Linked DNA regions of Lonchura striata. The protein of the gene in region 1 purifies or fractionates together with the protein of each later gene. This does not show direct contact. Links are inferred from orthologs where the notes say so. Each region holds a gene or a part of one and is shown on either strand. Other genes may lie near its edges.

Region 1 (3,745 bases):
TGACTTGTGTATCACACTGTAGTGTTTGCCCATCAGTCAGTAAGAAGTAACTCCACCTGCAGCACTCACCGTTGTCTGGCCCCTGAAGTTTCATAGAGTACAGCTTGACAGGCTGGCTAAAAGCTACAGTGATGAGCAGCTGTGGGGGGAAGCGAGCACAGTTACACACGGGTGTCACACAGTTGCACACCCAGCACACGGGGCTGGGCAGCCCTGGAACACAGCAACAAATGCTGTGCTCACTGCCCCTGAGCGCACTCTGGCCCTTTCCCCCCAGCTCACACTCCTGTGCCAGGCCACGCTCAGTGGGGAAAGCGCGGGCACCCCCAGCCGTGTACCCAGGCCTCCTGCGGGCTGCCAGCCTGGTGGGAGCACATCCCGGGATCACAGCAATCCCTGGAGCTGTGGCAGCACAGCCCTGCAGGAGAACACCCCGGGAATGCAGCAATCCCTGCAGCTGTGGCAGCACACCTGCTCGTCGCAGTCGGACTCCAGGTAGGAGGAGTCCTTGCGCAGGCAGTTCTCGAAGCCATGCTCGTCGCTCTCATTGAGGCACTCGCAGCCAGCCTTGTTGATGAAGGGCAGCAGATCCATCTGGGGACAGAGAGCACAGCTGCTCACAGCTGGGACAGCACAAAATTCATTTCAATGACTAGGGACATTCTTCATCCTTAATAACCACGTATATGTCAATATTTACATTTTTTCTGGAAAATAAAGCCCAGACAAATTATTTTCTTGGGCAGCTTTGCCTAAAATCCAACTCTTTGACTTCAAGCACATTTGAAAACCAGGGTTTTTTAACACCTGAGCTGCACGAGCACTCCAACAAAGCTCTGGGGAGATACTCACGTATCCTTTGGGAATGTCTGTGTCTTCGCTGTTGCCGGGATCGTTCTCCAGGTGCTGTTTGATTTTGTCTTCCAGGCCCACAGCATCTGCTCCCTGGTACTGGTCGATCCGCACCTTGTTCCGGAAGAACAGGAAGGTGGGCGTTGCTGAGATGTTGTTGGTGGCAGCCGTGCCCTGGGAGCAGACACCAGACTCCATTCAGTGCTTTAGGTCAGTCCCACTGCACCACTGGCAGCCAACTAGCCCCACTTCTTCACGTTTGCCTTTAATTCCCACTAGCTAAACCCACCAATAAATGCACATGCTCATGTTTGCCTTTACCTCCCACAAGTGCTGTGTTCCATGGCTAAAATATTATTTTAGCAGGGGCTGGGAACCAACAAATCAATGAATAACTGCACTTTTACACTGCTCAAAGGAAGGGCAGCACAGTGGCACTGCAGGAATATTTCCTCCTAGGAGGGATTTGTTTTCCCAGTTTGGGAGAAGTCACTGTCACAGCTCCTGTGCTGCAGCAGGCACGGCGAGAGGCATGGACACTGCTGGAGCCTTTCCCAGCTCCCCATTCCCTGGTTTTCCTCTCCCATCCTGCTCAGGACACCACTGCAGCCTTTCCCTCCCTGTTCCCTGGCTCCCCAGCAGCAGGAGGCCCTGGAGCCCACACCTGGCACTGGTGCACGTCCACCTCCAGGAATGTTGCCTGAGGGTATTTGTTACTCAGAGCGCTGAAGGCGGGTGCGATCCGCAGGCAAGGGCCGCACCTGTGGGAAAAGTGACACTTCCACTTAATTCCACTTTTGGTTCCTTTTCCAGTGCCTGCCCCAAACGGAACCAGAACGTTCCTCTCTTCCTGATACCCTGCTGTAAAAACAGCCTCTCTACCTGCAGCCAGCTGGGGATACAATGCAAGGTGACATTTGGGAATCTGCAATTTATTGCCTTTATTTGCAACATTTTTACCACAGACCTGCTCAACAAAGTGTGACAAAGGAGGGCAAAATGAGCAAAAAAAATACTATTAACAAAAAAATACTATCATTAGTTCATGCCACCTCCTTGGAAAAAAATTATATTCACACATAACTTAAATGTTTAATGGTCAACATGTATCAAAGCTTCATGGATTATAAAATTGTTCCCACAATAAATCTCATTTACACCTGAACCAGTTATTCTCATATTTATTTGGTTCTGAGAGGACATAGCTGGTTTCTTTTAATTTATTTGCATTGCCTCATACGAAAATTAGTATCTTTTACTTATTCTGCGTCAGCAAAAATGTATGAAGTGCTCAGCTGCACCAATTCCTGTAAAGGGAGTTTCTCACTGGGAAAGGGAAAAGAAAAGTGAAATAAAAAACCCCGACATAGAAATTGGCAAAAAAAACCCCACAACTAAGAGGCAGCAGCCAAAAAAATAATGAGGTGCCCTATGAACCCCCAAATCCCCGGGATTATCACTATTCTCCCCAGTTTCACAGATTAAAGGGAATGATTCAGATATGTAGGTTCATTTGGTGACAAATTCATCCCGATTTCACCACAGCTGCACCTCCCTGCTGAGGACGGAAAAGAGAAAATCCACTTATCGTGGGCAAATGGGGTACGGATGCAGCCAAGTTTTATGGGGCAAAAGGTGTTTTTCCAAGTTTTAAGGTGTTTTTAGTGCTGTCCGTGCCTCGCTTCCGTCATTTTCGTGCCCTTTAAGGGGCTGTAAACCAGCGCAGCCCCTGCTCCCTCAGAGCGCCGGAGGGCTGGCGGGGCGCGGGCGGCGGGCTCGGCGGGAAGAACGGGAATTTATTCCGGGAGCTGGGAACGGGGTGCTAAAAATCACACAACTTCTAAAGGCGCCGATGCCGAGACCGCCCTGACGCGTTACGGAGCGCTCCTCACGCCGCGAGCCGCGCCGGAGAACCCCAATAAAAGCACGGGAACAGCGGAGCCCTTCCCGGGAGCCTGAGCCGCACGCCGCCCTCACTCACCCCCTCATGGTGAACTTCACCACGGCCAGGCGGGAGCCGGCGGCGCTCAGCTCGGGCTGGAACTCGGTGTCGTTGGCGATCACCTTGACGCCCGCCATGGCCGCGGGCCCGGTGGCGGTGCCGGGTGCGATGTGCAGCGTCACGGCGGGCAGGCCGCCCGGCATGCACCGCTGGGGCCGCACGGGCGCAGGCGCGGCCGCTCCGCTCCGCTCCCGCCCGCCGCCGCCATCTTTGGAACGGGCAGGCCGTGAGGGCGCGACGCCCCCCGGCGGCCATTTTGGGAATGGGCAGCCCGTGAGGGCGCGACGCCCCCCGGCGGCCATTTTAGGAACGGGCAACCCGTGAGGGCACGACGCCCCCCGGCGGCCATTTTAGGAACAGGCAAGCGCAGGAATTCTCTGAGGCGAGATGCGCCTTTAGATTTTAACATAAAAATTTAATACTGGTTTCGTCATAAACTCGTTTTTTGGTGACGCCAAAAGGGGGAAATAAAAGATGAGTGCTTGTAATAACTACAAAATAAAACCAAAATTAAACCCGGGACTTTCTCTGACTCCATTTGCAGCGTCATTCCTGACAATTTCCCAACGTACTTTATAACACAACATCATGTCACTCCAAGCTGTCTAATATTCCCGCTTTTCCCAGCAAAGACCAGAAATACCGCCGCCATTCTGCCCCCGCCTGCTGCAATTGAAAAGCCTTGCAGCAATCGGTAATTAATTATGAATTGTCACCGCGCAATCACCCGCTCCTGGCGCGCCCTCAGCGACCCCAGCAGTTTCCACGGCGGCGGCGCCTGCCGTCAAGCGCGCCGGCCGCAGCTTTGCGCCAGTGTCGCGGGGCGCGGTGGCACCCGGCCGCTGCCGCAGCGAGCGCGGCGGGGGGACACGTGAGGGCCGGGAAGGGACC
Region 2 (3,745 bases), on another chromosome or scaffold:
TAAGCAGAGCCTGTGAATTCTGAGAACTAACGAAGAATATGTCAACAAAGGACATAATCATAGTGAAACAAGCATGATTTTATCCTGCGCATGCTGGGTCATGGTGGTACACATGACACTTTTAAATTTCAAAAGAGAAGTTAAATGATATGAAAAAGAACCAGGCTTATTTTCTCAAATTGATTAAAACAATTGGGGAAAATTTCCAGGTGCTCTAACATAGACTCCAACAAGCAGAACATCCCTATATGTATTCAAAATAAAATACAAAAAAAAAAAAATACAAATACAAAACAAAAATACAAAAAACACAGTTTTCAATCCCATTCACAAAAGAACCACCATTCCCATGTTTTTAAACAGCAGCAGCAATTTAAAAAAAAAGGAAAAGACCAGAAGTCTTGTTTGTTATTTAAAAAAAAGCATCAAACCCACACAACTTTAGAGTTCTTAAGAGGACTTGGACTGAGAAATCTCAGGCTTTAAAACACACAACTCTTCAAGCCTGACTTTTTTTGCTAAGTCACAGAACCATACCCTGAAATAAACCTGAACAAATCAAACACTCATTTTGGCATCTAACTTGGTGCTTTTGTTACTATATTCTTGGAAGATTCTCAGGACACTCCAATGAGGAGAAATAGCAAACACCTCTGATAAACAAAATGATCTTCTTAATTCCAGCAGAAAAGATGCTACATTAAATAGTAAACACTTAAGAGTGCAATGGAAGGTATTTGTAAAAGAGAGATAAAGCACCTGTAACATTGTACAGAAATAATTTCAATTAAAAGTATCAGCTCTGTAAATGTAACTAGTGGACTATGTTTTCTTTCACTATTTTTCTGTACTGAGTTGACAGAATGATACTATACTACAAGCTGCATCTGTTTTAAAAGACAAGCACATCTGATAGTTTTCTCTCACATCCATATCAATTTAGCAATACAGATTTCCTATTTTCAATTCAACACACTCAGTTAAACTGAGTTTTGCTGTATTTTCAAATTTCTAAAAAGTACCTTAAACTGTTTCCACAATGAAAGGGCACAGCTATTCAGAGCCAACATCTAAACCAAGCAGTTTGTGAGAACTGCAAGTCTATTTCCAACAGTTTTCATTCTTATCAAGTGGTACACCTCTCACTATCTCCAACACTTCCCTCTCCCCCCATCATAAGTGTCTAACACAGTACAACTCAGAGCGTGGCTTCTTCCTTAGCAGGTAATCTCTCTAACTGGATGCTATTTGCATGAATTAGGAACTTAATCTTATCTTTTAGACCTCTCCCTTTCAAACCAGTCAGCTAGTCAAAAGAAAAAGAGAAAGAAGATAAATTGACAGTACAATCATAAAGGTCTTACTTTGTCAAGAAATCAAAGCTAAAATCGGGTACAATTTTCTACTGAGAAACTTTCTGCTAGACATGCAAGAGGCATGGCAAAACCACTCTGAGAAGCAAAATTCTCACAGGGCTTCAAGTTTGCAGACTCTTACTGAAGCAGGTATCTTTTCATACAGACAGAGGGCCCATCCCTGAAGTGATGTGTAAGAAACATGCTTAGTCCCAGAATTAGACCAACACATTACATAGAAGGAAACATAAACATATATTTCATTAACTGGAGAAAAAAAGAAAAGGAATAACTACATGTGTATAAATTACAGGTTCTTGTCACTTAAAGGAGAATTGTGATACATGTTTCGTTTCTTAAGCAGTAGCAACTTCTGAATGACCATAACACATCACCTCAGACATCTGATTTACAAATCAATAGTCAAGTGTAACATCCCTTAACAGAAATACTGTAGATATGCTTAAAAACTGAAGCCCAGAAAGTGCTGCAGTCAGGAGCGACAGATCACATACATCAAGGCAGCCTGCTCACAGGTTCAGATCCAACTCTTCAGACTGGACAGAAGGCAACACGAGCAAAGTGATCAGACCCACTTTGTCAAGCAGGCCTTGGCCACTAGTTAAGAGACCCTCGCACTACTTGCCATTCCGGCGGCCAGCCGCGCCGACAGCACCGAGCAGTCCCATGCCCACAGCTGCCCCAGAGAGTAGTCACCGAACCGGGAAACTGAGGCAGCGGCAGGCTGGGTTCACCCAAGGTCGCCCAGCGAGCCCGGTCTCCCGGGGGGGCGGGAGAAGCTCGGAGCTCCCGGGGCGGCCCCGCACCCGTGTGTGTCACGGCGCGGAAGGACGGGACCCCGGGGCTGCCGCCTTCCCCTCCCGGCGCGGGGAAGCTGGCAGGGCCGCCTCCCTCCCCTTCAGGGCCAGCGTGCGCCGGGCGCCATTCCCGCTCCCGGCCCTGCGCAGCGCTCACACCGACCTGGCTACCTCGGCTGCTGCTCCCGGGCGCTCCCGCCGCCGCTGCCGCCCGGGCTCATGCGGGGGCCGCGCCGCACTCGGGGCCGGGCCGCGGACGAGAAGGAGGCGCCGCCGCTGCTGCTGCCGGGGCCGCCGGAGCCGCGGCCTGGCGGGGCGGGGAAGGCGAGGCGGGCGGACGGGCCGGGCCGGGCGGGCGCGGCTGCTGCTCCTGCTGCTCCTGCTGTTCCTGCTGCTGCCGTGCCGGCCGGGCCGCGCTCAGCGCGAGCCCCGCGCCTCCATCTTGGGACAGCGCGGATGTCGGCGCGGCGCAGGCTCGGGGCGCGCGGGGGGGCGCGCGGGAAGGAGGGAGGGAGAGAAGGAGGGAGGACCGGCCGTGTCCCGGCGTGCAGCGCGGGCGGGGGCGAGGCGCGGCGGCGGCGCGCTACCCACCGCGGGCAACCATAGAGAGCTGCCGGGCCGCGCCTTCCGGCCGTGTGCCCTCGCGGCGGCGCCTGCGCGCCCGCGTGCGCGAAGCGGGGGCCGCCATGTTGGAAGTGGGCAACGCGGAGCCGTGGGGTGGGGGCGCAGCCAGGCGAGCGCGCGGGGCGGGGCTCGGGGGTGCGCGTGCGCAGGGCGCGGGGCTGAGGCGCGGGTGGGGCGGTGTGAGGGAACGGGGGAGTGCGTGTCGGCTGCGGCTGTGCGCGCACATGTACGTACACACACACATACGTGTACGCAAACATCTGCAAATGCAAACACGTACACGCGGGTGCACACGCACTGACACAGGCACGCAGGCACACACAGGTGCCCAGCCGCACACACGGCCCTGGAGGCCGGCGGGCAGACCAGGGGCTGGTGGCACAGCAAGGGACCATCGCTGCCCTGGGCAGAGTGGCCGCCACCAGCTTTGAGTCCCTCGGCAGGTCCCCGCTGAGCTCCACCGGAGTCCCGCCTGTCCGGCAGGCCCCACGGCATCCCGGCCGGGGTTTATCGGGTTTAATCTGGGCAGGGAGCCGTGGCCGGCCGGCGGAGGGGAGCGGTGGAAGGGCCGGTGGGTGACCTCTGGAGGGGAACCCGTGCTGGAGCCGTGAGTCAGCCAAAGCACGAGAGGCCAGGCAGTGCCAGGCCTGGCCAGCCCTGCCGTGTCTGGCCCCTCCCAGCAAGGGAGGAAGGAGGGGGAGACCGAGAGCGGGGTGACCCATAGGCGGCAAAGCGTAGGGGCAGCCTTGCTGTCCCCGCCTGCCGCGCTGGGCAGAGAGCCACCGCGGTGTACGTTTAGGTCATCAAATGCCTGGTGGTGTTCAAAGCTAGCACCCTGCGGGGCACACAGGGCAGGGCTGGCTGGTGGGGCTGGAAGGGTCAGGGACCCGGCCCGGGGATGCAGCCTGAAGAGTGAGCAACACACCCCCGGTCCTGTGCAGCCCTGCC

The links. Proteins that work in one complex are often made in the same cells at the same time.
Region 2: the proteins of TXNL1 (region 1) and UBE3A purify together in Homo sapiens (affinity purification with mass spectrometry; 3 studies listed by BioGRID and IntAct, with this or other methods). This does not show direct contact. The link is inferred for Lonchura striata from reciprocal best matches to the Homo sapiens genes TXNL1 and UBE3A.

The regions. Positions count from the first base shown.
Region 1 is NC_134642.1:658,462-662,206, reverse strand, and holds the start of TXNL1 (thioredoxin-like protein 1), read right to left. Parts: upstream 3,004-3,745; 5' UTR 2,998-3,003; coding exon 2,834-2,997; intron 1,614-2,833; coding exon 1,517-1,613; intron 1,027-1,516; coding exon 853-1,026; intron 595-852; coding exon 472-594; intron 140-471; coding exon 70-139; intron 1-69. UniProt on the Homo sapiens protein: Active thioredoxin with a redox potential of about -250 mV.
Region 2 is NC_134604.1:85,913,080-85,916,824, reverse strand, and holds the start of UBE3A (ubiquitin-protein ligase E3A), read right to left. Parts: upstream 2,453-3,745; 5' UTR 2,337-2,452; intron 1-2,336. UniProt on the Homo sapiens protein: E3 ubiquitin-protein ligase which accepts ubiquitin from an E2 ubiquitin-conjugating enzyme in the form of a thioester and transfers it to its substrates.